Linked DNA regions of Astyanax mexicanus. Each later gene encodes a partner of the first gene's protein in a complex. Links are inferred from orthologs where the notes say so. Each region holds a gene or a part of one and is shown in the gene's direction. Other genes may lie near its edges. The genes, in order: nuclear factor 7, brain-like; ube2e1; skp2.

Region 1 (10,874 bases):
GACATAATCTCTCATTTGAAGCTCTTTCAGTCAGGTAAACTCCACAGGTAAACTCTGAAGGAGCAGAAACACCTGGACGAGGGAGAAGAAGTGAAGCTGGTAATGTATGGCGTCGTTTTACTGCCAATAGTCGAGAGCGAAGTTTTTGAATGTAAGAGTCTGTTTCATGCAGCGCTCACGGATTTTATTTGCTCACGTGTAAAATATAGGTGCGCTCTCACAAATTTACCATGCTCTCTCTCAGATTAACTCTCCTCTTGTACGAAACATCGCGCGCTCTCAGATATATCATTCTCGTGTACCATCTGTCTGCTCTTAATGTTTTGAGAGAGCGCGCGCACTTAACTTCCCCCTGTGTGCAGTTGGGGTTGGATCTTTGCCTGCCGGGAGACGGGCGGCAGTGGTGGGTCTGCGTGACGTCACCCGCCAGCCACTTTTTCATCGACCCGGCAGTGCCAGGCACGTACCCGGCAGTAATAAAAACTGTCAGGGGGCTTCCTGACAGTACGCCGGCAGTTTTAAAAACTGTCAGGTAGCTTCCTGACAGTACGCCGGCACTACTAAAAACTGTCAGGGAGCTTCCTGACAGTACGCCGGCAGTATTAAAAACTGCCAGGGAGCTTGCTGACAGTACGCCGGCACTACTAAAAACTGTCAGGGAGCTTCCTGACAGTACGCCGGCAGTATTAAAAACTGCCAGGGAGCTTGCTGACAGTACGCCGGCACTACTAAAAACTGTCAGGGAGCTTCCTGACAGTACGCCGGCAGTATTAAAAACTGCCAGGGAGCTTGCTGACAGTACGCCGGCACTACTAAAAACTGTCAGGGGGCTTCCTGACAGTACGCCGGCAGTTTTAAAAACTGTCAGGTAGCTTCCTGACAGTACGCCGGCACTACTAAAAACTGTCAGGGGGCTTCCTGACAGTATGCCGGCAGTTTTAAAAACTGTCAGGTAGCTTCCTGACAGTATGTCGGCACTACTAAAAACTGTCAGGGAGCTTCCTGACAGTACGCCGGCAGTATTAAAAACTGTCAGGGGGCTAGCTGACAGTACGCCGGCACTATTAAAAACTGTCAGGGAGCTTCCTGACAGTATGCCGGCACTACTAAAAACTGTCAGGGGGCTTGCTCACAGTACGCCGGCACTATTAAAAACTGTCAGGGAGCTTGCTGACAGTACGCCGGCAGTATTAAAAACTGCCAGGGAGCTTCCTGACAGTAAGGGGCTTTCTCACAGTACGCCGGCACTATTAAAAACTGTCAGGGAGCTTGCTGACAGTATGCCGGCAGTTTTAAAAACTGTCAGGTAGCTTCCTGACAGTATGCCGGCACTACTAAAAACTGTCAGGGAGCTTCCTGACAGTACGCCGGCAGTATTAAAAACTGCCAGGGAGCTTGCTGACAGTACGCCGGCACTACTAAAAACTGTCAGGGAGCTTCCTGACAGTACGCCGGCAGTATTAAAAACTGCCAGGGAGCTTGCTGACAGTACGCCGGCACTACTAAAAACTGTCAGGGGGCTTCCTGACAGTACGCCGGCAGTTTTAAAAACTGTCAGGTAGCTTCCTGACAGTACGCCGGCACTACTAAAAACTGTCAGGGGGCTTGCTCACAGTACGCCGGCACTATTAAAAACTGTCAGGGAGCTTGCTGACAGTATGCCGGCAGTTTTAAAAACTGTCAGGTAGCTTCCTGACAGTATGTCGGCACTACTAAAAACTGTCAGGGAGCTTCCTGACAGTACGCCGGCAGTATTAAAAACTGCCAGGGAGCTTGCTGACAGTACGCCGGCAGTATTAAAAACTGTCAGGGGGCTAGCTGACAGTACGCCGGCACTATTAAAAACTGTCAGGGAGCTTCCTGACAGTATGCCGGCACTACTAAAAACTGTCAGGGGGCTTGCTCACAGTACGCCGGCACTATTAAAAACTGTCAGGGAGCTTGCTGACAGTACGCCGGCAGTATTAAAAACTGCCAGGGAGCTTCCTGACAGTAAGGGGCTTTCTCACAGTACGCCGGCACTATTAAAAACTGTCAGGGAGCTTGCTGACAGTATGCCGGCAGTTTTAAAAACTGTCAGGTAGCTTCCTGACAGTATGCCGGCACTACTAAAAACTGTCAGGGAGCTTCCTGACAGTACGCCGGCAGTATTAAAAACTGCCAGGGAGCTTGCTGACAGTACGCCGGCACTACTAAAAACTGCCAGGGAGCTTCCTGACAGTACGCCGGCACTACTAAAAACTGCCAGGGAGCTTCCTGACAGTACGCCGGCACTACTAAAAACTGTCAGGGAGCTTCCTGACAGTACGCCGGCAGTATTAAAAACTGCCAGGGAGCTTGCTGACAGTACGCCGGCACTACTAAAAACTGCCAGGGAGCTTGCTGACAGTACGCCGGCACTACTAAAAACTGCCAGGGAGCTTGCTCACAGTACGCTGGCACTATTAAAAACTGTCAGGGAGCTTGCTGACAGTACACCGGCAGTATTAAAAACTGCCAGGGAGCTTGCTGACAGTACGCCGGCACTATTAAAAACTGTCAGGGAGCTTCCTGACAGTACGCCGGCAGTTTTAAAAACTGTCAGGGAGCTTGCTGACAGTGAGCCGGCAGTTTTAAAAACTGTCAGGGAGCTTCCTGACAGTACGCCGGCACTATTAAAAACTGTCAGGGAGCTTCCTGACAGTACGCCGGCAGTTTTAAAAACTGTCAGGGAGCCTGCTGACATTACGCCGGCAGTTTTAAAAACTGGACTCTTTCATATGGGAGTGGACCTGTTTTGGCATTATGGAAAAATCATGAGAAATTTAATTTTAAGCATGAATAATAAAAATAAATAAATAATATAAAATAAACAATACAGTGAATTTTTCCCAAACTTGCAGGAGTCATAGCCTAGGACAGACTCTTTCAAATTGTAGAGATCATGAGATCATGAGAAATTTAATTTTAAACATGAATAAAATAATAATAATAATATAAAATAAACAATACAGTGAAATTTGCCAAAACTTGCAGAGGTGATAGCCTATGTTTTGGCATCAAATGCTAACAGTGGAACTGTTTTGGCATTATGGGAAAATCATGAGAAATTAAATTTTAAGCATAAAAAATTAATAAATTAATATAAAATAAACAATACAGTGAAATTTGCCCAAAATTGCAGGAGTCAAAGCCTAGGACAGACTCTTTCAAATGGTAATGGAACTGTGTTGGCATTATGGGAAAATCATGAGAAATGTCATTTTAAGCATAAAAAAAAAAAAAAAAAAAAAATTATATAAAATAAACAAAACAGTGAAATTTGCCCAAATTTGCAGGAGTCATAGCCTAGGATGGACTCTTTCAAATGGTAGTGGACCTGGTTTGGCATTATGGGAAAATCACAAGAAATTTAATTTTAAATATGCATATACTATATATATATGTTTATATCTATATATTTTTGTAATTAATATAAAATAAACAAAACTGTGAAATTTGCCCAAACTCACAGGAGTCATGGCCTAGGACATACTCTTTCAAATGGTAGTGGACCTGGTTTGGCATTATGGGAAAATCACAAGAAATTTAATTTTAAATATGCATATACTATATATATATGTTTATATCTATATATTTTTGTAATTAATATAAAATAAACAAAACAGTGAAATTTGCCCAAACTCGCAGGAGTCATAGCATAGGTTCTTTCAAATGGTAGTGGATCTATTTTGGCATTATGGGAAAATCATGAGAAATTTAATTTTAAACATGAATAAAAAAAACAATAATAATAATAATAATAATAATAATAATAATAATAATATAAAATAAAAAATACAGTGAAATTTGCCCAAACTTGCAGAGGTGACAGCCTATGTTGTACTCTTTCAAATGGTAGTGGACCAGTTTTGGCATTATGGGAAAATCATGAAAAATTTAATTTTAAACACGCATACACTTTTTTTATTAATATAAAATAAACCATACAGTAAAAATTGCCCACACTTGCAGAAGTGATAGTCTATGATGGACTCTTTTACAAGGTACTGGATCTGTTTTGGTTTTTTGGGAAACTCATGAGAAATTTTAATTTGAAGCATGGATTGAAAAAAGTAATATTAATATAAAACTCTCTCTCTCTTAAACACTGATGGGATATTATATCAAATAGATAATGTACTGCACAAAATATACAGTGAGGTGAGTTATTTTAATCCGTTTTTTCTCGTTTCTGGGCTTAATGTATGTCTGAATTAATATAATAGACTGAAACGTGTCGGTCTCCCGTTCTCTGTGTTTTTTAAGCGTGCTCTCCGCCTGCGCGGCTGTTTACCGTAAAATCGCACGTATACGCGCATCAAAATTTAAAGCGCGGATGACTTGACTGAGAATTTCCGAAGCGCGGATAGCTTGACTCCGGTCTTACTGTCAGCTAGCCCCCTGACGGTTTTTAATAGTGCCGCCGTACTGTCAGGAAGCTACCTGACAGTTTTTAGTAGTGCCGGCGTACTGTCAGGAAGCTACCTGACAGTTTTTAAAACTGCCGGCGTACTGTCAGCAAGCCCCCTGTCAGTTTTTAGTACTGCCGGGTACGTGCCTGGCACTGCCGGGTCGATGAAAAAGTGTCTGGCGGGTGACGTCACGAAGACCCACCACTGCCGCCCGTCTCCCGTCAGGCAGAGATCCAACCCCCTCTCCCTGTGTGCTCGCGGAGCGATTTTTACTGCAACAAAGCTGCCAAAAGTCTCCAGCCAATCAGAAGTGGCAAAAGGATTTGACCAGTTAAATAGACCGCTGAGGTCGTGCGTCATTCTGTAGTTCTCGTATGGCTTATAAGTGTCTGAAAGTTCTCAAAAACTCGCCTCTATCACATTCTGTGGTAAATAAATCTGTTCAGAACTCTGTACGTTTTATTCTGTGTACATTTTCCTCCTATACATCACTAGATCCTCTGAATTATGAGATCGTTTAAGAGTTGTAATGAGAAAAAATGCTAGCTTTAAGCTAACGCTTATCTGTGGCAGGAAATGCCAGAGTACTCGATTCTGCAGTACACCAGCGAACTCCGGTCGGATCGCGTTTTGCACTATTCTTCTTCTTCACAGAGGATCATTAAAGTATTTAAACAGGTGAAAACTCTATCAGTATGGTGATGTTGAGCAGTGTAGTCTGTGTTAGAGCTTTAAAAGGCAGATAATAAGAGAAAGTGGTTCTCAGTTCAGGAGCAGCGCTTCCCTGCGGGTTTAGTATTTAATTACGGTCATTAGTTTATACTAATTACATACTAAACACATGACTCAAATTATCAACTAACAACTAATCAACTAACTAACTGCCCTCACTGAGGCGAGCTGTGTGTTACAGCAGTAAAACTAGCAGGACAGAGTTACTCCAGAACCACAGAGCTAACCCAGCTAACTGAAGAACTACAGAGTCTAAAACACTTGTCCTGTAAAACATGTAGAATGGCTTAATGTGAGTTTTTTTTCCACTGAAAGACATTATAAGGATGAATCTTAACGTGGCTTAATGTACTGAAACAACGAGCCAGAAAGACCAAACATTGAGATTTATTTCACCAAATAAAAAAAAGGTAAATGGTAAAACGTGCTACAGTGTTTAAAGCTGGTTTTGGAGTAACTCTTTATTGCTGGGTTAGTTTTTTTTTTTTGCTGTGACACAACCAGCTCTCCTCACAGAGGTCAGTTAGTTCATTAGTTGGATCAGCTGTGTTTAATATACTGTAAACATACTGCCGGAGTTTGCTGGTGTTGTGCCGAAAAGAGTCCCCTGCTGATCTCTGCAGCTGCGCTTGGATGTGAGTTCTGTGTGCTGTAGCATTAGCTCAAAGCTAGATATATGATATATCCCAGATATGATATATCTGAGAGTGCGTGTGATGTTTCGTACAAGAGGAGAGTTAATCTGAGAGAGAGCATGGTAAATTTGTGAGAGCGCACCTATATTTTACACGTGAGCAAATAAAATCTGTGAGCGCTGCATGAAACAGACTCTTACATTCAAAAACTTCGCTCTCGACTATTGGCAGTAAAATATGATGCCATAGTAATGTCTCTTAATCTTCCTCCTGTTTCTGCTTCCTTCTGTTCAGCTAATTTTTTTACATTCACTGCTCTTCTACGTGTTTAAACTGCTGTAAGACGCTCACTTCTTTTCTCCAGCTCAAGCTGTTCACTTTAGTTCAGTCCCAGAGTTCAGCTTTAACAGCTGGAATGTGGAGATGATCAGCAGCTGGATGGGTTTGATGGTGAAAAGTGTGAAATTGTTTTCATTCACTGACTAAGAATTATTCTGAAATGATCTCTGTGCTCTCAGATCACCTTCATGCTGCTTCTCTGTGTCTCCTCAGTCAGTCATGGCTTCCTCCAGCAGTCTCCTGTCTGAAGATCAGCTCCAGTGCTCTATCTGTCTGGATGTGTTCACTGATCCAGTCTCTACTCCATGTGGACACAACTTCTGCATGGTCTGTCTCAGAAAGTGCTGGAACAGCAGCTCACACTGCCAGTGTCCAGTCTGTAAAGAAGAATTCTCCAAAAGGCCTGAGCTCCGTGTGAACACCTTCATCTCTGGACTGGCTTCTGAGTTTAAGAAGTCAGTTCAGGAGAAGTCCAGCAGAGCTCCAGAGAAATGTACCTCCAAATCTAAGAAGGTGCTGTGTGTCTATTGTAGTGAGGAGAAGCTGGAGGCTGTAAAGTCCTGTCTGGACTGTGGCGTTTCTTTCTGTGACACTCATCTGATGCCTCATAAAACTACACCCAAATATAAGAAACACAAGCTGATGGATCCTGTGGAGAACCTGGAGGACTACATCTGCCAGAAACATGAGAGACCCCTGGAGCTGTTCTGTAGAGACGACCAGACGTGTGTGTGTCAGTTCTGTACTGAGGGAGACCACCGGACTCACAGTACTGTTCCTATAGAGGAGGAGAGTGGAGAGAAGAAGGTGAGAGATGTTTAGACAGAGAGTTATTAACACTAATTTTACTATTCTCCTATTTTTCCTAAGAATAACTGATCATAATGTGTCTCTTTATCACAGACTCAGCTGGAGAAGACACAGGCAGAAGTTCAGCAGATGATCCAGGAGCGACTGAAGAAGATCCAGGAGATCAAACACTCTGTAGAACTCAATAAAGTGAGATTCTATAGCGTTTAAACTCATTTTAAATATGAAAGCTGCTCTTTAAACAGTGTTATTGTTCTTATTGTTGTCTCCTTTTAGAAAATCAGAGAGAAGGAGAAAGCAGACAGTGTGGAGATCTTCAGGGCTCTGGTGCGCTGCATTGAGAGAAGCCAGGCTGAGCTGCTGGAGGTGATGGAGGAGAAGCAGAAAGCAGCAGAGAGGCAGGCTGAAGAGCTGATTAAAGAGCTGGAGCAGGAAATCACTGAGCTAAAGAGGAGAGACACTGAGCTGGAGCAGATCTCCCACACTGAGGACCACCTCCACCTCCTACAGGTCAGAGTCCCTCTGTTTCTCAATAGTAATGCAGTCCATCACAGGACAGCACTGCCCATGCTGAGGGGTTTCTCCTCTCTCCTGCTGTACTGTAGATTTACCCGTCCCTCTGCAGACCCCCACACACCAAGAACTGGACTGACGTCAGTGTTAACACTCCTCTGAGTGTGGAGAGTCTGAGGAGAGCTCTGTCTCAGCTTCAGGAACATCTCACACAGGAGATGGAGAAGATTGGTAAGAGTGGTAAGTGTTTACTGTTCAGGTTTTTAATAAACCTGAATTTAGAATCTAATAGTCTTTATTCTTTTTCAAACAGAACTGAAGAGAATTCAGCAGTATGCAGGTGGGTGGGGCTTTCACTGATCACATGATTCAGTCTGTATGATTCTCTATTTCTTACAGTATGTTGATTAAAATGGGTTTAAACTGTGTTTCTCTCTCAGTGGACGTGACTCTGGATCCTGATACAGCAAATCCTTTTCTCATCCTGTCTGATGATGAAAAACAAGTTAAACTTGGAGACAAACAACAGAATCTCCCTGATAATCCAGAGAGATTTGATCCTTGTGTCTGTGTTCTGGGAAAGGAGGGTTTCTCCTCAGGAAGATTTTACTATGAGGTTCAGGTCAGTGGGAAGACTAAGTGGACATTAGGAGTGACCAGAGAGTCCAGCAACAGGAAGGGAAGGATTATACTGAGTCCTGAGAATGGATACTGGACTGTGTGGTTGAGGAATGAAACTGAATATAAAGCTCTGGAATCTCCTCGTGTCCTCCTCTGGTTAAATCAGGCTCCCCAGAAGGTGGGGGTGTTTGTGGATTATGAGGAGGGTCTGGTCTCCTTCTATGATGTTGAGGTCAGATCTCATATCTACTCTTTCACTGGTCAGTCTTTCACTGAGAAACTCTATCCATACTTCAGTCCTGAGCTCAATGATGGAGGTAAAAATTCAGCTCCACTGATCATCACTCCTGTTCAACATTATAAATGAGCTTTATTGTTTATTTACTCGATCAGAATCTAATTTGTTGAGTCAGAACAAAAAATCTGATTGTAGATTAAAAGTAGATTTTGGGTAACAAAAGCTAGTTTCTGTTTAACAAATTAATATCTAAATAAAATCTTAACAATTTCTACACAAAGATTCTCTTTATATCTGTTTAAAAGATAATTTTCTGTTAAGTTTTTGTTCATAATGGTGGTAGTTTTCCCCTTTTATTTTCTGTATTAAATCATTCCTGAATAAACTGTGAGATCTGCAGGTCTGTGGTGTTTTATTATATTTTATATGTTTAATGAATCTACATGTTTTTTAGATGTTTAATGATTACTGCATGTGTTTATTCAGTATTAAAATATACAGATTCAATATAATTAAACTTACTTTTAGTTAATATCTTAATATCTTATTTAATTATTTACTTATTTTTAGTTAGTATTTAGTTTACTTTTTGTACAATGTCTTAGTTAGTGGTATTTTTTACTATCTACCTTTTTATTCTTGTTATTGTTAAGTACTAATTAGCTATATCTCTGGTCTTCTTTACTCCATAGGATCTTCTAACCAGTAAAGTCTGGATCTCAGATTTAGCAGAAGTTCAGTACACACTGTGTTTCAGCTCAGATTCAGTATTAAACACACAAAAAACCCAAAACACCCCAAAATCGGTTGTACAATAGTTGTGTTTACTGCTTTGTGCTGTTTTATTTGGCTGAGGTTAATTTTGTGCTCATTTTTACTCTTAAATATGAAGACTGTTCATACGGTTGTTTGAGTGACACCATAGAGGAACAGCTTTTGGTGCTGATAAAAAAACATTTAAAATTAGTTTAAAATATATTAACATTTATTTACATAGTGTGCACTGATTACTGATTTTAATATAAACGTTCATGTATGAGGTATCAGAAAAAAACAGCTGTACTCAATAACATAGCTGTACTTAAAACATTGTCTTTATTTTACACTATATAGTTATTTTATCATTCAGAAGTTTAAGTTCAAATTAATGCAGTAATGCCTTTTAAAATATTCTAATATTTGCTGTGGTAAAAGTACAGCACTCTATTTATGTGATAATAATTGCATAACTGTGATGAGAATGATTTAATACAGTATTTTATAAGGACTGTGATTAAATGTACTGTATGCTAGAGTTTAAAAAATATGAATATAAATATATAAATATAAAAAAAATATCAGGCAAAAATATCCAGCCCGTTCCAACCCGACCCATAAACTGTCATTATGAGCCTGAGCCCGATTTAAACTCCACATTTTTTTTAGTAAGTAAATTGTTAAAACTGAGCTTTTTAAATAATTTTCAGGCTGTTTCAATAATATAAATCTGTTCAGAATAATGTTAATTAACATTGCAACACTGAAGAAGCATAGATCTATTATTTAATAAAAATGTTTATTAAGAACAGATACACACAGTGCTGCAAGTCAAGTGCGTAATGCAACAAATAGAGGATCTCACGTGTGCGTGAGACCCAGAGCTGTGTGATTATAACATTCTAACTAGTGCAACTTTTTTATTTAAAGCACAGTTTGATTTGTTACTTTGCTATATTGTGATTATCACTCCATATCTTTATATTAAATAAAAATAGAATTAAAAACACACAATTACCTCACAGATCATTTTCTTGGGTATCGGGTCGGGCAGAGAATCTAAACTCTACTGTATTCGTACTGTAAAGTTTACTACAGTAGATAATCACCGTCAGCAGGTTCCTGAAGGTTGTGATGATGCTCCAGTGCAGTGCAGTAATCACCAGTAGATGATAGGAGGACGCTGTGCTGTGATGCTGAATCTGCTGTTGAGTTTGGTGATGAATGTATTAGTTGGTGATTAATGTATGAAGTGGCGGAACGTTGTGAGCGGTTCAGTTGGGGGTTTGGGTATTGATTATTGATCATCACTCAGGTTTAGGATCATCAGACTCTTTGTCGTCCTTCTTTATCTCTTTTCAGGTCTCTATCTCTCTTTCTCTCTTTATCTCTCTCTCTCCTGCAGATCAGACTTGATGATTTCAGATCTTCAGCTTCTTCCCCTATACAGTTCCTTCAGCTCAGAGTTGCCAGGTTTGCGGTTTTCCCGCCAAATTTGGCTTGTTTGAAAATCAAGTCGCGGGTAAAAAATCAGGGGTGGTGGGTGCTTTTTTGGGGGGCAAGTTCTATCTTCTTTGATTTACAACAGTAAGAACCAGGAGAACATAACTATGGGACGTAACCCATTGCAAGGACTAATAAATAAAAATGTTACCATTGCATTTAGATTTTATTTTTGACATTTACTATGCAGTTCATCACAAAAAGGCAAGGCCAAATTAAAGCTTTTATTTTTCTTTTTAGAATGAGCTTTTTTATTTTAGATTTGACTGTGAAATACCTGTATGGTAATGAAAA
Region 2 (10,945 bases), on another chromosome or scaffold:
GAATTGGAAGTAGTGAACTACAGAGTCTAAATGACGCCTCTTTAAACCCTATAGGCTAATTATTGTGCTGTTATTACTAATACAGAAACTGTAGTTATTGTGAACAGTGGAGTTCCACAGGGTTCAGTTGTCGGACCTATAAAACTGTAAGGAACTGAAGTGTGAAAGTGAAGCTTTTATGCAGGATCTACCAGGTTAAACACTAAACACAAACAAACCTGATTTTGTGAGATTTTGAAGTAAAAACTTTAATATTTTTGTGCATTTCACTCTCTCACTTTTTTGCACAGTTGAGTGAGATACAGATTCAGTAACTGTCTCACCCTGTTCTGCCCAACTTCTGCTTATTAAAGACTCTTAGAGACGTTTGGTGGATAAAGTTTTTGTACCAAATCACGATTAGAATCACCTTTTCGTATCACCTGATTAAAACCACTTCCAACTTTTTTGGAATCTGTTGCAAATCTGCACTGCATTAATGGATGTATTAATAAGTATTAATAAATTCAAGTTATTGACATTTACATTACATTTACAGCATTTATCTGACTCAAGGTTATTCCTATTAAAGAGCCGATGGCTTTGGGCCAGTGGACCAATGTAGTGTTAGGAGTGTTGGGAGTCTTGCCCTGGGACTTTGGGGTATTGGTGTAGATCAGCATTCTGTAGTCACCCAGACCTGGAATTATTGAACCCCATTCTCCCTCCAACGGGCAGGTAGTGGTGTTATCCACTGTGCCACACCAACCACAGTTGAAATATCTAACGTTTAAACTGTCTGCACACTGTTCGACAAAATTGATTTTTGTTTAAGTTTGCATCTTTTTAGGGGCTGTATTTGTGTGTGTTGTGTGAGCTATCTCTATCTCTAAGAGCCTGTGGTGCTCTCTCTCTTCTCGTGTCTCTCTCCTCACAGCCGATCCTCTGGTGGGAAGCATCGCCACACAGTACCTGACCAACAGAGCAGAACACGACAGGATAGCCAAACAGTGGACCAAACGCTACGCCACATAAACCACCCAACCCTCCTGTACTGCTGTGCCTCCTGCATCCCTAAAAGAAAGCACACCCGGCCCTGGATCCAGACGTTCCCAGATGTTCCCAGATGATGTTCCCCCGCCCATCCCCCTCCCCGTCCCTAAACAATGAACTGTCCTTTGTTTTTTCTTGTTGACTTGAAGGCTTTTTTATACAGTAAATGTATACTAAGAGCAGATCAGGATTGTACTTTTTTCCAGTGCGCTGAATGTTGGCATGGTCATCAAAAGCTTTATTATTATTTGTAATGTTTTTTTAATGTGTTTAATGATGGAATATAATCTGCTTTATTATTGAGAAGAGGGTGAACTGCACTCTATGGTTTCTCTTCTGGATCTTCTGGCCTTTCTTCTCCTCTGGGAAGACGACACTCGAGCTGAAGACCAGGCGCTCATCACTGAATCTCCTCTTCTTTTTCTCCATTAAAGTGGATTTTTTATTTCTGATTGGTGTTTTAAGTCCAGATTTCTCCCCAGATTTCTCCGTGTTGTTTATGTGGAACACTACGGCACTGGCCTGTTTATCTTGAGAAGCCCTGTACCAGTTCAGTATATCAGTGGGCCTGCTGCTCGCCACGTGCCGCCATTGGCTGTTTGTTGTTAAATGCACATTGTGAGGGAAAACTCAGTCGATACTCAACTGTTAAACAACTGAGTGAATAAATGAGGTGTTGAGCTGAGTGGTGGTTTGCTTGGTTTCTGTGTGGTTTCTCTGCGTTAACGTTTCCCCGACCGAGAGCGACGCTTTCCTGTTTATCACAGGATTTTCCTTTAGAAAGTGACTGTTGTTTTTTTTGTTTTATTTTACCACACTACTAACCTCTCAGACTCCCAGTGCTGTGAAAAAAAGGCTCCTCTGTGAGAGTTTGAGGTTTGCTAATATTTTCCGTACAGCTGTGAATGTAAAATTTCGGAAAAGTAACTCCAGTGACCTCAGTCTTTGCATGTGACACACTTACGCTCTGAATTCAAGTATTGTTCATACGCTGCATGTCAAGATTGATTATGGAAACCCCTTTAAGTAGAAGAAAGTTCACCCACTGCTGACACTTTTCCAATTGTGCATGCACACAGCATGTGAAACCTCTGTAAATATTCATTCCCAAAAGACTGGGACACTCAGGAACAGCCGCGGATCAGCTGATGGAGACCATACCCAGCGCAAAGCTGAATATAGAAGAACAAGAGCTGTGAAAATAATTTATTATGAAACTGAAAAAAGGAGAAAAACATTCGAGAGATCGACCAAACATCAGGAGTGTCAAAATAAAGTGTGTGGATTTTACACAATTTGTAAAAGACTTACAGACAAATATAGAAATACAGCGACAACAATGCAAGACATGGACCACAAAAACAGAACGGTAAGATTGTAAAAAGTTTGTAAAAATGTAGATTAAAAAAGCCTGACTTTTGTGGACAGATGAAACCAATGGGGACCAATGAGAACTGACCAAAATCCAAAGCTTTCCATCTTATAAATAGAAAAATAAAAATAGGAGTTGTACCTTCAGAATTACAGAATTTAAAGGCAAGCATGATTTAGTTTAATTAAATGAATTAAAATTGGTCATGCATTTCCATAGAACCCCCCTCCCCCCCCCAAAAAAAAAAACTCACTTATAAATAAATTGCATTTTTAAACATTTTCTTTCTGCTTGTGTCATTCATATATTTCAGAAAATTAAAGCAAGTAACATTTAAGTTGATCTTATTGGCCTTTTAAACTTTAAGTGTGAAATCCCTGGACAGTGATTGAGCCTAGTCTTGGACTGCAACTAAACTTAATCCCTGTATAGAAAACTGACCCTATATATGCAATCTTGATCTCTACTAGAAGTTTTTCACAGTCAGCGTTTCACACAAAACTGTGTAAACTCTTTTGTTAGCACAGGAGAGTGGTGAGCGCCTAAAACTCTGATACTCAGGCATCCTTGTTGCTATAATGTCCTGCGAGGGTAACTGGTGGCGTTACAACACTCAACTGTCTCCTCTATATACCGATTGAACTGTAACCCCCCAACAAAAGACTCGAGCCTATTCAACGACAAATGTAGTGTACAGCAGCCTAAAGCCTGTGCTGAGCAGAAACTCAGAGATAAAACGATGTTTCTCACTTCCCCTACAGCACTTTTTAAGGGCTTTGACTGTTTTCTTTCTGCTTCCGAGAAAGAGGAGATCGAGTGGTAGAAGAAGACGCTGCATGAAAGGACTCCCACTGCTCAGCGCTCTTAGAAACCAACAGTGATATTTATTTACTCACTGAACAAATTCTAAATCCAGAAAATGATTCTGATGGTGGTTTTCCCAAACTGCTACCATAGAGAAATAAGGCCTTCAGAAAGAAATACATTAAAAGAAGAGGAGAAACAGTAGAGCAGCCCCCCACCCCCAGACAGAAACGATGGGCCATCACTTATAATCTGCCAACTGTAAATTTATAGCTGTTATGGAAAGATCCAGACAGCTCTCTACTCCAACAAAAGCAGTGAGCATTCAGGGGTCAATGGTCAATTTGCAGCCCCGCCTGTCAATAACAGAGAAGAATTGAGAAGAATGGTAAAGAATTAGCCTTACACTGATTTAGTAGAAAATAAAAATTAGAGATTATTCAAATAGGTTAAATTTGAGTGATGCCATAGAAGAACCACCTATAGTTTCACAAACAAAAAAAACACCAAAAGTTTGTAATAGAGATATGTAAAAAGCCTTTTAGAGTCTAAGGAGCTTTTACCCAATGTAGATGTTCCTTACCTATTTCAAGGTTCAAAAGAATTAGAAAAGAGTTATGCAGTGAAAAATGGTAATAATGCAGTACTTCTTTATCTTGTGTCAGTTTACTTCTATGATGGCAGAAATTAATTAATCCATTTTCAACAACACAATGCCAAACCACATGCTGCACACGTTACAAAGACATGGCAATGGAAGAAGTGGAAGGAGAGTCCTGTAGATGACGAAACAAACCATGAATTATTGGGAATAAACTGGCTACTATTAAATTAAAGAAGTAAATATGATATAAATAAAGTAATACTCTATTACTCTCTTTCTTTCTTACTATTGGAGGGTTGTATTACAAACATGGCTATTCTGTGGCACATCGCAAAGTCAAATGTTAAATAAAAGATCTGATTATTTGCATGATGTTGGCCTCTCCAAATGATCACATTACCTGAACCGTGACCAGAACTGTTGCTTATGGATGCAACCAGATAATTATCTTGACATAAACAGCTGGCTAATTGCGTTTCACCACGTTGGTGCTACTTAAAGCATTGACTAAAGGATTGCGTCTTTTCCAGGTGTTTGAATGAGCCAGATGGTCTTTGCTGTGGCCGTAAACAGGCTGCGTCTCATCGTCTGCAGCCACCCAGCCCAGCATTCGGCCTACAATCATACATAATGCAAACAGACAGTGAGACAGACAGGAAGTGTGTGTGTGAGAGTGGAAACCCATTGAAACCCATCCTGTTACAAATGCAAACTGCTGTGATGGGGGAGGGGAGGTGGGGTGTCTTTAGATCAGTGGTGTAAATGTGGGTAAATGAGGCAATTCTTGAACCCAAAACACCTCCTCCCCCTTCAGCCAATCATTCAATCACTCAGAGTGAATAAGTATAAACTACACATTTATCTTTATATATACATATATATTATCTTTATCTTATCTCAGTGTACACTTAGGTCATTTGTATATAGATTTGTGTAGATTCTTCATCCCTTAGAATTGTCTTCATGATTAGAATGAATGTAAAGATTTATGTAAATGGATTCTGTTCTGATTGGCTACAATCACACTGTATGGGCCCTGTTTAAATATGCCCTGTTAGTTAATAGGTGGGGCTACACTGTATGAATTTATAGTACAGAAGCAAATATATGTAAATATATTGGTTTTAGACATCCCAACAACACTACATTCAAAACAGGACTAAACTAGTTTACATATATGGCGTCTACTGTATTGAATAGAAGCGAACATTACATTTTTAATCTGTAATTATTAACAAAAATCTACTTTTTATTTTTCTATCTTATCTAATACATTTTTGCTGCCATTTCTCTATTCAGACTAAACTACTAAGACAGCTGAAATCAAGAGCTCACAGCTTTCAATAAATGGTGAGTTTCAGCTCACACTTTGTGTTCACACATTTTTTTTCTCTTCAAACTTGATAGATGACTAGATGGCTTATAAGATAAATCGCTTGGCAAAATGTTTTATTATCAAACACTTCAAACCATAGATAAAACGTCACATATTTTCATGCAGTGGACAGAGTTTTCTTATCATATTGACAGTACGCTTTAATGGGCATATTGAAATTCCAATTTAGAAGTTCCAGGAATTCAGGAATATTATAGTAAAAAATAATTCAAAAACGGCAAAAGTGGTCGGTAACGACTAACAACTAGATGACTGGAACAGTTTCATTTGGATTTTAAAATCATTTCATCATTTTATACCATTGGAGTTGGTAGTTGGTAGTTAAGTGATTGACAAGAATTGCACTAAAATAAACAAAAGAAGTAAAATTGAGCAAGTAATTTTTTTAATTCTTATTGTGAGGGGCAGAAATCATTGGAAAAAGTAAAAATTATAGAAAATGTAAAAAACTTTTTTGATTGAAACTCCTTTTTTAATAATAATAATAATAATAATAATAATAATAATAATAATAATAATAATAATAATAATAATAATAATAATGCAGTTATTTATAAATAAGTCAGGTAAAAGCTGATGCGTTAGTCTGGCTGGTCGGCCCGCTCGCGGGGTCTCTTTATTCACACCGTTAGTTTGTTGAGATTACCGGTGAACGCGGGCGGGCGGGCGCGCGGCTCCGCTGCACTGCTGCACGAGCACTTCCGCTGCGCGAGAGGCCAAAGCCACGCGCGTCCACAGGCGACGGGGAAGAGAAGGGCTCGACACGCAGACACAAAGAAAGGTACCCGGGGATCCACTGCCGCGGAGTTTTTACCGGCGGCGCGGTAGATAAGGGGGCCGGGCGGGTTTTGCGGGTGTCGGTGCGGCGGGGGAAAGGTTTAATCCGCGGAGAGGAGAGAGAAAAGAGGGGGAGAGAGAAAGAGAGAGCGGCGGCGGGGCTGGACTGAGAGGAGGGAGGTCGGCTGGCTGGCTGACTGACTGACACACGGGGCGCTTAAACGGGAATTAAGCGGCTGTTCGACGGTTTAAAGTTGGTTTTGTTGAGCTTAGAAGCTGGAAAAGAGGCTGATCTTTGTTTTACAGTAGAAGTTTGTCGAAGTCGAGGCGAGATAAGAGAGAAGAACCGGGGAGATCGGTGCACAGCGCGGCGGCTGATTCTGCTTCTGCTGCGGCGGCGCCAGCTAACCAGCCCCGTCCATTTTTCAGCCCCCCACCTCCTCCTCCTCCTCTAACACACACTCTCTATACACACACTCACACACACACACTCTATAAACACACACTTTTAATCTTTACACACACACACATTCTCTCTATATATACACACTATACACTCGCACACATTTTTTCTTTCTTTCTCTATACACACACTGTACACTCACACTTTCTCTCTATACACATACACTCTATATACACTTACACAATTTATCTATCTATATAAACACTATACAATCACTCTCTCTATACACTCACACTCTTTCTCTCTCTAAAGACATACACTCTGTCTATACACTCAATATTTCTCTTTTTATACACACACTATACACTCTGTATACACTCTCACACTCTTTCTCTCTCTCTCTCTCTCTCTCTCTCTCTCTCTCTCTCTCTCTCTCTCTCTCTCTCTCTCTCTCTCTCTCTCTCTCTCTCTCTCTCTCTCTCTCTCTCTCTCTCTCTCTCTCTCTCTCTCTCTCTCTCTCTCTCTCTCTCTCTCTCTCTCTCTCTCTCTCTCTCTCTCTCTCTCTCTCTCTCTACACACACACACACACACACACACACACACTCGGATGGCTTCTCAGTTCTCACCGTTTTTAGCCCAGCTAACGCTAAGCTAACTTAGCCAAGCTAACTAGGCTAAGCTTGTTGGTTCCATCGTAATGATCTTGCTTTAGTCAGTTAGCTAGCTATAACCAGCTAACACTCTAAGCTAACCAGGCTAACGCGCTTCACGATTTTTTTCCCCACAGTCGTTAAAACTGTTGTTTGTTTTTATTTATTTATTATTATTTTTCTCAAAACGCGACGTCGTCAGCGAGCCTAGCCGCGGTTAACGCTAACTAGCTGACTGTTACGCTATCGGCGCAAACATCGAGGTCAGCGGGCTAATCTCCCCTCAGGCTGCCGGGGTATGAAATGAGCAGTAACTTAACGTTAAATAATTTTAAATCACTATCGATAAGGAGGAGTAGGAGGTCGAAATCTTTCAGCGTTTATTCGGCTAGCTCTGATATCTAGCTTAACATGTTGTTGTTATCTAACTAGATTTAACTAGCGTAGTTAGCCAACGTTAGCTAACCATTAACTAACCTGAGCTAGTTAAGTTAGCTAGCTTAGCTACGTGAAGGCTAGTTAGTTAGCTTGGTTAGCTTGTTGGCTAACTAGCTGTTAGTGTTTGTGAGAGTGAGGAGTTAGCTAGGTTAGAATAGCCAGGCTTTAACAGCCAGTTAAAGGTCACCCTCACACATTGTTCTCTCTGCTCTTTAACTAGATAGGTTATTATTATTATTATTATTATTATTATTATTATTATTATTATTATTATCGTTATTGTTATTGTCGTTATTATTATTGTTGTTATAATTTCTCCTCGCTCTTTATTTTAAGGTGTGCTTTACACGTTTCCTTTTGTCCTCCTCCTCCTCTCTTTTGAGGTCGGTAGCATGTCGGATGAGGATTCGCGTGCCAGCTCCAGCTCCTCTTCATCCTCCTCCTCCTCCTCAGCTGCTCACCAGCAAGCGGAGAAAGACACACCTAGCAAGAAGCGAGAGAGCAAAGCCAACATGAGCAAGACCTCCAAACTCCTCTCCACCAGCGCCAAGAGGTGAGACCTGCTGTCTGTCTCTCCTCTCTGATCATGGGTGACTGACTAACATTAACATTAACCTAAATAATAAATAACCTAGGGTAGGTTAGGTGTCCTAGTTAACTAAGTTAACTAACTAACAGTTATGGCTGGGCAATGTAAGTATCTTAATCTATCAATTTTTCTATCTTTCTATCTTTCGTGAACATCGGGAGATATATGCAGCTCTGGAAAAAAATAAGAGACCACCTGAAAATGATGAGTTTCTTTGATTTCACCCCTCATTTCATTGAAAACCTCTGGAATATAATCAAGAGGATGATGCATGTCCGTAGTTATATATAGAGAAAAACAGCAATGTTCATTTTACTCAAACATAAACATATAAATAGCAAAATCAGAGAAACTGATACAGAAACTGAAGTGCTCTCATTTTGTTCCAGAGCTGTAAATGGATGTATAGTTGCTCTTTTGCTTTCTATGAGGAAGTGTGGATGAAGGAGTGTAGCTGAAGAACACAGGATGTTGTGTACTCTGAATAAATAATGTTACACCTAATTACAAATGCTTTACATATTTACACACACCTTGCAAATAACAAAAAAACAACAAGACAAAGTGCAGAAGACATCAATCAGCTGATTCACATTCAGTTCGATATAGGTAGCTATGGGAAGATCATTAACATCTGCGGAAAGTCAGGCGTGCATGGTATTTAAGTTATGACAGACATCTTTATGTAGAATATACTGTAGCAGCATAGGTGCACTGTAGAACGTGGAGTTGGATAAGTAGGTGATTCAAAGTATATGAGCAAAAAGTATTGTTATTGTGTATAGAGAACACTATTTAACTACACATTTTACACATGGTTTTATTTAGGCCTGTTTATTTAATTTAATTGATTTATTTTATAAGTTCTCAGATAGTGCATATCCCTTTGTCAATTGCTTCTTATCAGATATCAGGAACAGTAAATATATATTGTGACCTATATCTTAATATATCATATTGTGTGCATCCCATATCTCACACCTTTGATTTAATGCATTTGTAATTCAGTTGAATAATCTGTTTGAATGACTTGATGTTAAACTGATGAAACTGATGCTATCTATAACATTCAGTGATTAAAAAAATAAAAATCAAATAAAGATTTTTACTAAAAAAGAAAGTTTTTGAATTTGTTTGAGGTTTTCTTGTAAGGGGGGGAAACCTGAAATGTTTGGCTGACCCATTCATTTCTGTTAAGTAGGTTTTAATTAGGCGAGGTATTGTGTGCCAATTGCACTTGAACTCTCACTTCTCACTCTATACAAATGCAGACAGACCACCCGTGCAGGAGATCACTCGCATGAAAGTAGAGTAGAAAGAAGGGCCAGTTCTTTGTCTAAGTGTTTGTCCAAGTGTTTCTCCAGATGTTCCTCTGTGGCTGCTCCCACTGCTTTGAGGTGGCCTGAGCTGGGAAAGAAAAGGCATTTTAATACAATTTTGTGATTGTTTTTTGATCATACTTCAAAACACTTACATGATCTTTTATCGTTGCTGTTTTGTTTCAGAATTCAGAAGGAATTGGCTGATATCATGTTGGATCCTCCACCAAATTGCAGGTCAGTCTGTTTGGTTTTTTGTGAATTGTATTTATCTGTGGGTTGTTGCTGTTGATGTGCGTTTTTGAGCCTATAAGATTGAGATCAGAAGTGTTTTTGTCAGAGTAATGCTGCCTTAAAGTCGTGTTGGAAATATCATGTATATTTTTGAGAAAGCACATACACTCTACCACAAACGCATAGTGAATTTAACGGTGGAAAACACAGATTTTTAGATAAGCCCCTTTAATATAAGAGTTTCCCAGTTGGGGGCGTGTCAGTAACCAAGTGAAATTGATGTAGACAGTTCTTATTATTAACTTCTTACGCTTCAACACTTCACTGCAGGTTGTTTTTAGCTAACTAATAAAATCACTAGCAATACATGAAAAATCGTAAAAGTCTGATATGATTCACGGTTCTAATGGGATAGTAAAAAAACTATCACTCACCTAACGAGAGTCCTATTTGCTTTATTTTCTAGAAGTAGGGCAAATAAACCTCCTGTTTTTTATGATAATATACCAAAAATATAAACAAAAGGACTTTCCTTATGGCGTCCATTTCCATCCGACCAATACACATCTGAACGCATATTAAGTCGTAATTACGACCTCTTACCTCATAAGTAGGAGTTTCTAAAGAGGACTTGAAGACAGCATAGGCTAATTTTAACGTATTGCAGCCTAAGAGATACTACACAATCATCTTTTGGTTCACCTGAAGGCTGTGATGAGCTTGCTAGCTCCGCTTGGCGGTGATTAGCGGAGAAAAAGCAGACTTCTTGCTCCCCGAAACGACTTCCTGCGTTTGTTCCCGCCCTGAATTATACCGTGAGCTAAAAGAGCTGTTTAGAAGTTCCATGTGTTTCCTGTTTTCCCGGGGTCTGGTCAGGCACAGCATGCTGCCCTTCCTAGAGAGCTGCAGTGTGTTTTATCTTGAAGTCGATGGAACCCAAACCCAAAATACATCACCAAACGAACATGAGAGCAAGTGACAGTAATTGTCCTTTTATTTTTGAGTTGTATTTCTTGTCTTGTCCTGAGGTTGTTTACTTATTTAGTGTAGCCTTTCATGGACATGTTTGTAAAGTTAGTTTTTCTACTCTTCTACAGTAAAAGTACAGATTAGCATTGACTGACTGGGTGATTCATGTTGTACATCCAATCCAGAAAGGGCATAATCCCTTTTTTTTTTTTTTTCTCTCTCCATGTTGGGTATGTATTTGATATGTGAATGGGATTACTGGCATAGTTGATAAAGATACAGATACAAACAGTAATATATATTCTCACCCAGCATTATTTATTATTATTTAACAGCAGATATGAGTAATCTCAATCTC
Region 3 (10,844 bases), on another chromosome or scaffold:
ACAAAAAAATGATAAAAGGACAGTTTTTTATATGTTAATTGTAATTAAGAACAAATTATATATATAATCTTCAATATAATTAATACAAAAAAAACACAATAGAAGAGATTAAAACATTTTTTGTCAAAACCTAATATATAAATAAAAAAAGGCCTGTGTGAGTGTTTCCTATAATTTACTATGTAAAGTTTATCTTAGAATAGGTACGTCAAACTATCAAAATGTACTGCTGAATCTGTCTAGGGCCCTAAACGTTTAGCTGTCTATGTGCAGCAAAGAATGCACTGGATCAGGAGTCTCACCAAGAAGAAGTTCAAAGGGAGGGCATGGTAAAATATAATTTCGACTAATCTACTAATCGATCAAATAATCAGCAGATAAGTTGACAACTAAAATAGTCATTAGTTGCAGCCCTATTAAAAAGTTGAGGTTTGTTTGTCTGTAGATGGTCCGAACAAAAGCAGACATGTTAAAACTTGGTGTGTCACAGTGGATAACACCACTACATGCCAGTGAACTACCACATCATGTGGTTCAATTCCCAATCTGGGTGACTTTGCTGCTCTGCACCAATAAGCGTCCTTGGGCAAGACTCCTAACACTTCATTGGCCCACCTCCGTAATACGAATAACCTTGAAAGTCGCTCTGGACAAGAGCATCAGCTAAATGCCATAAAAGACTTCTGGTGCATTGTGAAAAACATTACAGCAAAACAGGTAAACACTTCATAGGAAAGGGCAAAAGCTTATAATACAGCAGGACAGCAGGCCATGTGACCATGTCTTACTGATATTAACAATAAATGTTATCAATTTGGTTTTGCATGGCTGTTTAAAAAAGTCAAAGGTGCAGAAGTGAAATTTATATAGCTTAATACACATGCCTAAATTTATTAAACTTATTTTAATCATTCTGTGGTAAAACACCCATAAATATACTGTAAATAAAAATTAAAATGCAAAAGATCATAATCTATACTACACTGAAGAAGATCATGAGGTAAGATTTGAGGAAATTGCATTGCATTGCTTTCTCACCATGTAAGACACTGTGAGGTCCAGTACACAACCCTCCAGAACACAGGCATGATCCCATTGGGAATGTAGCTCCATGGTTTGTAACAAGCCTTCGGAATGCTATTAAAGAAAAAACAAGTACATTAATTGATGACTGTTATGAATATAGCTAAATCTTTAGTACATGCAGTTTATTTTTATAGCACTTTTTACTTTCTAAACATGAAGATTCAAATATACTGAGCATGTTTTGTCATTTTGGACAATTGTAATTGGTTCAATGATCAAACTGCTCTTGTAAAAAGGGGACAAATAATATTTTAAATAAAAAATAAGAGACCACTTAAAAATTATGAGTTTCTTTGATTTTACCAAATTGAATACGTCTGGACTACAATCAAGATGAAGCTGGATGATCACAAGCCATCAAACTAAGCTGAACTGCTTGAATTTTTGCACCAGGAGTAAAGGCATAAAGTTATTCAAAAGCAGTGTGTAAGACTTGTGGAGAACATGATGCCAAGAAGCATGAAAACTGTGATTTTAAACCAGGGTTATTTCACCAAATATTGATTTCTAAACTCTTACAACTTTATGAATATGAACTTGTTTTCTTTGCATTATTTGAGGTCTGAAAGCTCTGCATCTTTTTTGTTATTTCAGCCATTTCTCATTTTCTGCAAATAAATGCTCTAAATGACATTTTTTTTATTTCTAATTTGGGAGACGTGATGTCCGTAGTTTATAGAATAAAAAGTTGTCTCTTATTTTCTCTCAGAGCTGTATATATAGAAACAAACAAAGGACACACTAATGTACCTGTAATAAAGACAGTAGCTATTCCTAGTCTATTATTCATGAGCCTCTTTACAGCACAATAGAAATAACACAGAAAGTAGACCAACCTAGCAGTGGGCGTGACAGTCGCATTTCCTGTTGTCTGGTTGGAGATTCCTGGGCCCACAGATGGTGACTGAGCATGTTCCTCATGATCAATCACGCACTGTTTGTATATTGTCTGGAATACATATTAAACACAAATATGAATTAAGCTGCAATGCATTTAAAAATCATAGAATAATTATGTAATTTCCAAATATCAGACTAAACGAACCGTGCTGACGTCCAGCGGGAGAATGAAGACAATGAGAAAGCACAAATACCAGGCCAGCAGTGTGCCAAAGAGCACCATGCGCTGCTGCTTTTTGAAGTCTCCATAACGATGCAGCAGGAACAAAGCCAGGAAAAAGACCACGACTATCTCTATTCCCAGCGCAGCTCCACTCATTCTCCCCTGCTGCAGTCCTCCAGACTAATGAAAACTGTGCAGAACAGGCAGAGAGGAAAAAACATGTTAGACAGAATAAGAATAGCAAGACACTAAAGACTCTAAAACACTATTACATGGAGCAAGAGCTAAGCACAGCAAAGGCCTTCCACAAACTAATTACAATTAGAATACAAAACACCGGCCTCAGACAAAAGCTAGTGTCCCCTTTACCAATCTGAAAGACCTTTTTGTTTTTATTCACTAGAGCAAGATTACAAGAAGAAATCAAATTATTCTGAATCGTGGGTCAGACACAGAGTTTCATATTATTATTTTGTATCTATACTTGATTTTCTGATTCTTTCATTTTTGCATTTAGTAACACATTTGGTTGGATTATGGGATCATATTTCTGTTATTTCTGTTTTACACTTCTGCGTGCGCATATTAGTGGCTCTGTGTCGCTCTGCAGTTTAAACTGCAAAGGAGGGAATGTGTGGATGGTAGTCCTGGGTGAGATTCATGCTTAATTTTGATTATTCGAATTACAGTTTTAATGCGTTTTTCAAAACGGAGTAATCACGAATTTACATACAGATATTTTATCTTTTTAATCTGAAATATCCAAAACTGTTACTTATTTGTTTAGTGCTTATCTGTCTTACTTTGTGACTCCCACAGACTAACAAATGCATAATTTTTTAAAGTTCCAGCACTTTCAACACAAACACCCGGTGGAAAAAAGCACATATTTAGCTAGAAATAAATCTGTTTCTAAAAACTGCAGCATCATAGCTCACCTTATTTTTTTACAGGTAAACCTAGTTTTGAACCATTTCTTTGTTTATTTGTAGTTTGATTTTTAGAAGGATGGAGAAAACCGGTTTCTAGACGAAAATTGGATTTTTTGTTAAAAAAAATGGAAGATTTTTATTAGGCCATAATTGTCCAGCACTAGTGGGAGGGGACGCGAGGCCCGGCAGACCAATCGCAGCTCCGGCTGTCCAACTCTGATAGAAGGGCTTCACTTTTATCAGAGGCACACTGCTCAGCTCAATCTGCTCTAACTTCGGCCCCGCCCCTAAACCCATACATCACCTAGTGCCCCTCCCACACTACCCCTCCCTTTCTTTTAGAATATTTCAAACTTGAGCTGAGGGAGGAGGGGGTTGGGGCCGTAAAATCAAAATATTAGCTTCAACATAGAAGCACAAACATCAACATTAAACACCAACAATTCAGTTTAACTTCTAAACTAATGGTTTGTATATATAACCTTTTATTGACTCTAATATTTATTAATATACTGATCATATTACCAATAATAAGCGACTTGTCAGACTGTGTGTTTACGCGCATCCGCCGTTGCTGCTAGCTTTAACTACAGCTCTGCTAGGTTAGCTAACAACAAACCCAGCACAGCTAACAGTTACCGTCCGTTAGAAGCTAAACCCCGATATACAGGCTTTTCCTACCTGTCTAACGCGCTGAAAGATACACAGACCGCTCACAGAGCCGCTGTTCTCCACTTCCACACCGCCAATACTGAAAACTGCCCACTAAATAAAGCTGTTCGAGCTACAGCCATTACTCTGCCTGCCCCAAAATCACACACACATCCCCCGGCCACAGCTGCTTTACCCCGAGACCGCCCACTCACCGCCTCCGCCGCTAAAGCAGAAAACCACTGTACACCGCCAGGGAGAGCCCGAGAAAGAGACTAAAATGAATAGGGTGAATAGAGCTTTTTAGTATATTTTATGTAGTTTGCTTTTAAAACATAAAGCACAACCAATACAATATTGAAAAGGTGAAAACAAGGAAATATGCAAGTGAACAAAAGGAAAAAAATATATAATATGACATACAGTATAATATAATTATACATATAGTGGTAATATAATTAATACAAATATAAATAAACCTAGTTACATTACATTACATTACATTTGGCAGACGCTTTTGTAGTGAAGAACAGAAATAGTAGAAGGTAAAACAACTTAATATAAGGCCTAAAGGAGGTCAAAGGGGAATAATGGGATAGAGGAGTGAAGGAGGGGAAGAAGGAAATGAGGTTAGAAGTTGTTAGTTTGTTAGAGGTGTTAAGAGGGTAAGTGCTCTTTGAAGAGAGCTGTCTTCAGGAGTTTATTAAAGATAGTGAGAGATTCTCCTGATCTGGTAGTAGAAGGTAGTTTGTTAGAGGTGTTAAGAGAGTAAGTGCTCTTCGAAGAGCTCTGTCTTCAGGAGTTTATTAAAGATAGTGAGAGATTCGCCTGATCTGGTAGTGGAAGGTAGTTTGTTCCACCATTGGGGAACTCTGTATGAGAACAGTCTGGATTGCTTTGTGTGAATGTTTGTTTGGTAAAGCTAGGCGACGTTCATTGGAGGAGCGCAGCAGCCGGGAGGTAGCGTAAGCCTTTAGGAGTGATCAGTGCAGGTAGGAAGGAGCCTGTTCTGTCATCACCTTGTAGGCGATTGTAAGAGCTTTAAAAACCTAGTGTAAAACTAACAAAAAATATATATAGTCAAAGATAAAATTCAAAAAATATTTTTCTTTTTTTTTTGCAATTCTTTATTTTTCCAGTGTGTGCTAAAAAATAAAAGTGCTCTATCATAAAAAAGTCGCTCCACAATTAGAAGTACATGTACTAAAATAATAAAAATGTTTTGTATTTACGTACAGCAAGTATTTATTCTAAAATGTACTACTTAAGTACTGAAAGTAGAAGTACAATATTGTGTCATGTACTAGCTAACTACTACTTCCAGAGCAGAGCGTCTGAGTGGGAATTCTCTTTTCTATTAGAGATTATTTTCACCCAGCGACCAGAACAACTCTAGGGAAGCAAGCGGGACGGCATTCGGCATCTTCACGCATGCGCACTGATAGTGTCGCTTTGTATGCAACATACACGGCTGGATGTGGGCTACGATGACTTGGAGATCAGCAAATATGAAAATTCAGTGAATTAAATTTAATTATTTGGATTAATAGAATGAATTAAATCTATCTACAGCACTAGTAAAATATTTGGACACCCATTCTTATTAATATTTGTTCTTTATTTTTATTATTTTCTACATTGTAGATTAATATGAAAGACTTAAAATTATTATTATTTATAATTTGTAGTTTATTCGTGGTTTGAACACCCATTCCTTCAAGACGCTGATTTACTTAGCCATAATATTTTAGACATAAACATAAAATGTAGACATAAAATTTCAAAACTATTCTTATGAAGACACAGATTAAAATACCAAGAGTTTGCAGATCCGTCCTCAAAGATAAACGTGCTTCTTAGATGTTTCCTGTATAGCGTTAATATTGTCTTCAATATTAAATTTACAATGTAAAAAAAAGATAAAAATAAACAAAACACATTGAATCTACCTGTCTGTCTGTCTACTTGTCTGTCTGTTCAGTCAGCCCTGGTCTGAGTGAGTCAGTGTAATATTTCTCCGGTCCAGCAGGGCGGCGACAGTCTGTGCGCTGCTCCGCTCTGAGCTCAGTCTGGGTGGCGGTGGAGCTGCGCGTTTAAACGGTGGCGGCTGCAGACAGAGAGCACAGCAATGCAGAGATCAGTACTGAGCAGCAGATCTGAGAGATTTACTGCGGAAACACATATAAAACAATTTAAACACGGACTAGAGAGTGAGATGGCAGTGGATAGGTGAGTATAGCACTGTTTATGGACTGCAGAAGTGCCTGGTTGTGGAATAACTTATATTAATACTGGGTTAGTAGATAGAGTAGTTTTAGTGTTTGGTTATAATGTAGATAACCCCTTAATAATTCATACTAACTAGTTATCTAACTCTTTAGTGTAGTGTCTTTCGTAGCCAATTAAATATGTATCCAGCAATGTGATCAGTAAGTTAGTTAACTGTACAAGTTATCTAGAAAACGTATCTAATACAAGTACTAACAGTTAACTAAGCTAAGCTAGCTAAACTTATAACTTACACATGAGCTTCAGTAATGCTCTGTTTAGCTAGTTAGGTTAAATCCTGTGTGTTTAAAACAATATTTGCTCTAGATAACATATTATTGTCCTATCCTAACTATTACAAAGCTTTATATATCTCTAAAGCTAAGTTATATAAGTTATTTAGCTTAAAAGTTAAATAGAGGGAACTGAGCTGACTGCTAGCTATTATGGCTAAGCTAACCTAGCTTTAGCTCCCTCCTTTCCAGCACTTCTGGCGCGCCTTGGCTTTTAAAGGCTTTAAACTTAAAAATAAGAAAAATATTATTCGTTTAACTATCGTATCATGTCTGTATATAAAAATGTTAATCGTTATGATACTTATTTCTGTGATTTTCTATCATTTTGAGCTCTTTTTTGGTGTTCTATTGTTGAGATGGCGCGATCAGAGGGAGCCAAACTGTAGTTCTGGCGGGCACCAAAACAACTCTGAAAAAAGTTTCAAACTCCGCCTAATTTTCACTTTAAAGCTCAATAAATTAAGGCATATATGTTTTATAGTATATTTGACACTTGTTTTTTGTTACATGTATGTTTTATAGCTTGATAGCTGTTTTAATTTAGGTTATTTATATGTTTAATGTGCGTTATTGCTTGACAAACAACTACACTGAGCACAGTTGGCTGCTCAGTGTCGTTAATGTTAGCTTAAATAAATGATTTGGGCTGCAAGAGTTGATTAACATAATCGATATTGTTGATTATTAATGACTTTACCTAACAAATTTCAGTGTGGACTAATCGTTAACTAGATAGAAACCTGTGGACAGAAACCCACAGTAGGGGGAGGGTTTCAGGGCTACTCACTCACTAAGTTCACACTTAGCCTGGGCACCAAAACTGATAACAGATTACATAATTAAAGGTCAGGGCAATATGGCGATATTATCATATTATAAAATCTTAATATCCTATTGATTATGCTTAAAACATATAAATAAAATTCAGTGCCTAAAAATAATGATACAACTGTTCATTTCAATAAAAAATTAGGTAATGCTTTTTGACCCTTTCAGATTCTGCAGCCATTACAATATACATCATGTATTTTCTTTATTTTTAAACGTTTTATTGCACATAACACTATTTGATAGCTATCAGAATAGACTGTGAACCTTGAATGGCAAATGAACAAGTTACTAAAAGACAACTTACTAATCTAATGTGAGTTGGAAAGCGTTTTAATTGTTTTTTTTACTGTTTAGGAATTGGTTATGAAACGAAAAAAAAGATTTATATAAAATCTGTGCTAAATAGATTTTTTTTTCCATCACTGGAGATATTTCAGGTCTGAAAGTTTTTTTTTTTTGCAATTTTACAGCAGCTCAAAGAACAGAACAGAGGAAGTATAAGGACATATACATACAAACAATATATAAAATATCTATATATATATATATATATATGCAAGAAAATGAATATAAAGGAAGATACAAGATATTTAAAAAAGTATTATTATATAAAAATACAATTTTGTTAAATTGGAAAATTAAACATTTTATTTTTTAATAAATCAATAACTTGGTCTGCTTTCAGTCTCAGACGCTCTTGGTTCTGGTCTTAATTCGGACTTGGTTCTAGCTTTCTTAATTACAACACTATTGGCACAGTTAATGATGACATACAGTAGGACACAGGCGGTAGCTTTTATATTGTTTATATTGATAGTGGAATTATATTGCATTGGCCAAAATTCAGAAATACCTTTTGGCAATATCGCCCAGCCCTAATATTTACTAACTAAATACGAGAAGATTTTACATTTTCCACTGTCTTCTGGGCATTTATTTACAAGGCCTGTAAGTCCCACTTTTGCACTTTCTATCATTTTTGAAGCAATTTTGAAAGAGCCATACACACAGGAAGCAGAGTTTGGAGGGCATGATATAAACAAAATATAGATTTAAAAATATTTTCTCATGCTTATTAATTAATTACTGTTTAGCTATTGACTCTTAACAAACCACCCTGATTTGCAGGCCGCTTCAAGAGCTTCCATGTCTGAATGAGAATTTGGAGGGATCCCTGCTGTGCATGTCTCAGACGAAAAAGAAGCAAAGGCTGCGCTACGGTGAAGAAAACACCCCGCATGAATTCATCCAGCACCTTTCACCCCCTCGCAAACAGCCTCGGCTCTGCGGCAAGGGCAAGGAGAACGCTTTTGTGTTGGCCAGACGTCCTCGAAAGAGCAGGGAATCAACAGGTATTGATATTGTGTTATATACCTTTATATCCAATGTTATTACATGTGTGCTTAGTCAATAATCATTTGAGGGAGATCTCCCTGCTGGTATTTTAACACTGATTTACAGTTAAATGTATACACAACTTTAGAACCAAGTGTAACATTTATTTTTCTTTTACTTTAGCTTTCAACTAACTGTATGCTAACAAAAAGTTATATTCTTTTTTTACATTTATTAAACTATAGATACTATACATTTCCTTAAAAACTCAGTCTGTTCACAAACATACTTTCTCCCTCCTGCAGCCGGTCTATCCTGGGACAGTCTCCCAGATGAGCTCCTGCTGGGGATCCTTTCACGCCTCTCGCTGCAGGACCTTCTCCGGACCTCCCGTGTGTGTAAACGCTGGCATAGAGTGGCGTAAGTTGTTCCCTCCAGTTTTTGTGCTTATTAGTAAGAAAAATATAAATATATACATCAACACAGCACACACACAGACACAGACAGGTGAGTAAAGGACACCCTTTTATTTCAGAATGAAAGAAATTTCTGAAATAAACGGGTGTCCTGCGAGCTAGCATTCATTTCTCAACTTAAGCTGATAAAACCATGATTTATTTTACAGAATATGATAATAGAATACTAGTGCATTTATGTATTATGTTTAAAAAACAAAAACTATTATTTAAGTATTAATGACAAGGCATTTTCATTATATTGTAAAATATCTTTCATGCAACCATGGAGGTCTAATATTTTACTGTATTTATCATTTGACCTGCATGACTGACTAGCTTTACATTTTAGGCTCCAATCAGGACCTTTGGTTCTCTTACACTAATATCGTAATGATTAATCCACCGATTCCATTGTTTGTTTAATTTTCAGATTTGATGAGTTCTTGTGGCGCAGTGTGGATTTGGTGGGGAAAGCTCAGCTGGATGCAGAGCTTGGCCAGGTGTTGAGTGCTGGAGTCCTGAGGCTGCGCTGTCCACATGTGTGCATTGGTCAACCCAGTTTTAAAAATACAGAGTAAGTGATGAGCCACTGTATTAAAGCCTATAGTTTCAACGTTACTCTTTTATTCTGTTTTACTAAAACTAAAATCACATGTATGTTTCAGACCTCTCCGTGTAAATCATATGGACTTGTCCGGCTGCACCGTACAGACGTCTGTCCTGGAGGACATTTTGTCCCGCTGCAGACGGCTACAGAATCTCAGTCTTGAGGGCCTTGAACTTTCAGACAAAATCCTCCAGTATGTTAACTTACAACAATATACTGTTGCCTGTTTAAATTGTATTAAGGTTGCTGTGTAGAATGTAACCGTGTGTATGGTACAGGGTATCTGCAGATCCATTAAGTCTTAATCCTTAATTTGTTTTATATTAATGGGTCTTAATTTGTAGAATATCTTAAATTTGTCCCCTAAGGTCTTAAGAAGGCCAAATCCAGTAAATACTTTTTTTTTTTTATGCATTGCATTTTGCAGTTTCCAAATTTTATTCGCAAGTTAGTTTACAGATTTAAATTAGTTAGACTGAACTAAGCAGGACCAATGGTATTATTATGTATGGCTCAGATGGGGACTATTTTAAGGTACACAGATTTTAGTTAGAATAGACAGTAATGTATAGGCTTGGAAAAACAGTAGGAATTGGGGTTAGACGACCCCAGTTTTGCTGCACACTATATTTAAGCATTGCCATCGTGTATAAGCGTAATAATCACATCACAGGACATTTGTTACATTATTACAACAATATTACATTAGACATTGTATCTTATGTATCAAATTGTATGTTGTGCTGCATTTAATGTGAAACAAAAAAACATTGCACCACATACTTGCCAACTGAGATTATTTAGAAATAATTAGTAGCAGATAAGATATATAAATTTGCCCAAAAATTCATTTTATGTTTTTGTTTTGACCAAAAAAAATAAAGTTAAAATAAACTTTAAAATTAAAAATAGACACCCATTGAACATTTTATTATTATGGCATGTTTAGATTTTTGACTTGTTGAGAAATTATGACTTTCAACACGATACCTGCCTACATATATAACAATACAGATACTAAAAAGATAATAAGGCCAAAACTTAAAACATCAGAGATTAATGGAATAGTATAAGACCGAACATGGAGGTAAAAAATGTGTTTTTTTTTTTTTTTTTTTTCTTCAATGAATTAAGTTCAAATCCTCAACAAAGAGCAATGATGGTGCTGCAATGTTTAGAAACAATAGGAGCTCTTTCTAGTGATGTATACAGTTTTTACTGATGTGTTGAGGGATTCTGTGATTTGTGATAAACGCGGCGCCTGGTGTCGGATGATTTTAAAGTACTGGTAGTAAATAAAAAGTCATAGGGTAACTA

Evidence for each region.
Region 2: the proteins of nuclear factor 7, brain-like (region 1) and ube2e1 are in contact, whole or in part, in a crystal structure (PDB 6FGA), measured with the Homo sapiens proteins. The link is inferred for Astyanax mexicanus from reciprocal best matches to the Homo sapiens genes TRIM21 and UBE2E1. Residues at the interface, in NP_003132.2 of Homo sapiens: Pro17, Ile18, Cys19, Leu20, Asp21, Glu38, Cys39, Gln42, Val43, Pro52, Arg55; in NP_003332.1 of Homo sapiens: Lys43, Lys50, Arg51, Lys54, Pro107, Phe108, Asn138, Trp139, Ser140, Pro141, Ala142, Thr144.
Region 3: nuclear factor 7, brain-like (region 1) and skp2 share a complex: the UniProt entries of both Homo sapiens proteins name them as parts of the SCF(SKP2)-like complex. The link is inferred for Astyanax mexicanus from reciprocal best matches to the Homo sapiens genes TRIM21 and SKP2.

The regions. Positions count from the first base shown.
Region 1 is NC_064415.1:5,421,183-5,432,056, reverse strand, and holds nuclear factor 7, brain-like, read left to right. Parts: upstream 1-6,169; 5' UTR 6,170-6,358; coding exon 6,359-6,946; intron 6,947-7,042; coding exon 7,043-7,138; intron 7,139-7,225; coding exon 7,226-7,459; intron 7,460-7,554; coding exon 7,555-7,702; intron 7,703-7,775; coding exon 7,776-7,802; intron 7,803-7,902; coding exon 7,903-8,450; 3' UTR 8,451-8,710; downstream 8,711-10,874. UniProt on the Homo sapiens protein: E3 ubiquitin-protein ligase whose activity is dependent on E2 enzymes, UBE2D1, UBE2D2, UBE2E1 and UBE2E2.
Region 2 is NC_064410.1:325,056-336,000, forward strand, and holds the start of ube2e1 (ubiquitin-conjugating enzyme E2 E1), read left to right. Parts: upstream 1-5,879; 5' UTR 5,880-5,989; intron 5,990-6,981; exon of another isoform or gene 6,982-7,334; intron 7,335-7,859; 5' UTR 7,860-7,868; coding exon 7,869-8,029; intron 8,030-9,570; coding exon 9,571-9,621; intron 9,622-10,945. UniProt on the Homo sapiens protein: Accepts ubiquitin from the E1 complex and catalyzes its covalent attachment to other proteins. Catalyzes the covalent attachment of ISG15 to other proteins. Mediates the selective degradation of short-lived and abnormal proteins.
Region 3 is NC_064424.1:6,371,150-6,381,993, reverse strand, and holds the start of skp2 (S-phase kinase-associated protein 2), read left to right. Parts: upstream 1-5,805; 5' UTR 5,806-5,860; coding exon 5,861-5,961; intron 5,962-8,255; coding exon 8,256-8,479; intron 8,480-8,767; coding exon 8,768-8,882; intron 8,883-9,350; coding exon 9,351-9,494; intron 9,495-9,585; coding exon 9,586-9,720; intron 9,721-10,844. Other genes in the region: G-protein coupled receptor-associated protein LMBRD2B, read right to left, coding at 1,039-1,137, 1,923-2,035, 2,132-2,305. UniProt on the Homo sapiens protein: Substrate recognition component of a SCF (SKP1-CUL1-F-box protein) E3 ubiquitin-protein ligase complex which mediates the ubiquitination and subsequent proteasomal degradation of target proteins involved in cell cycle progression, signal transduction and transcription.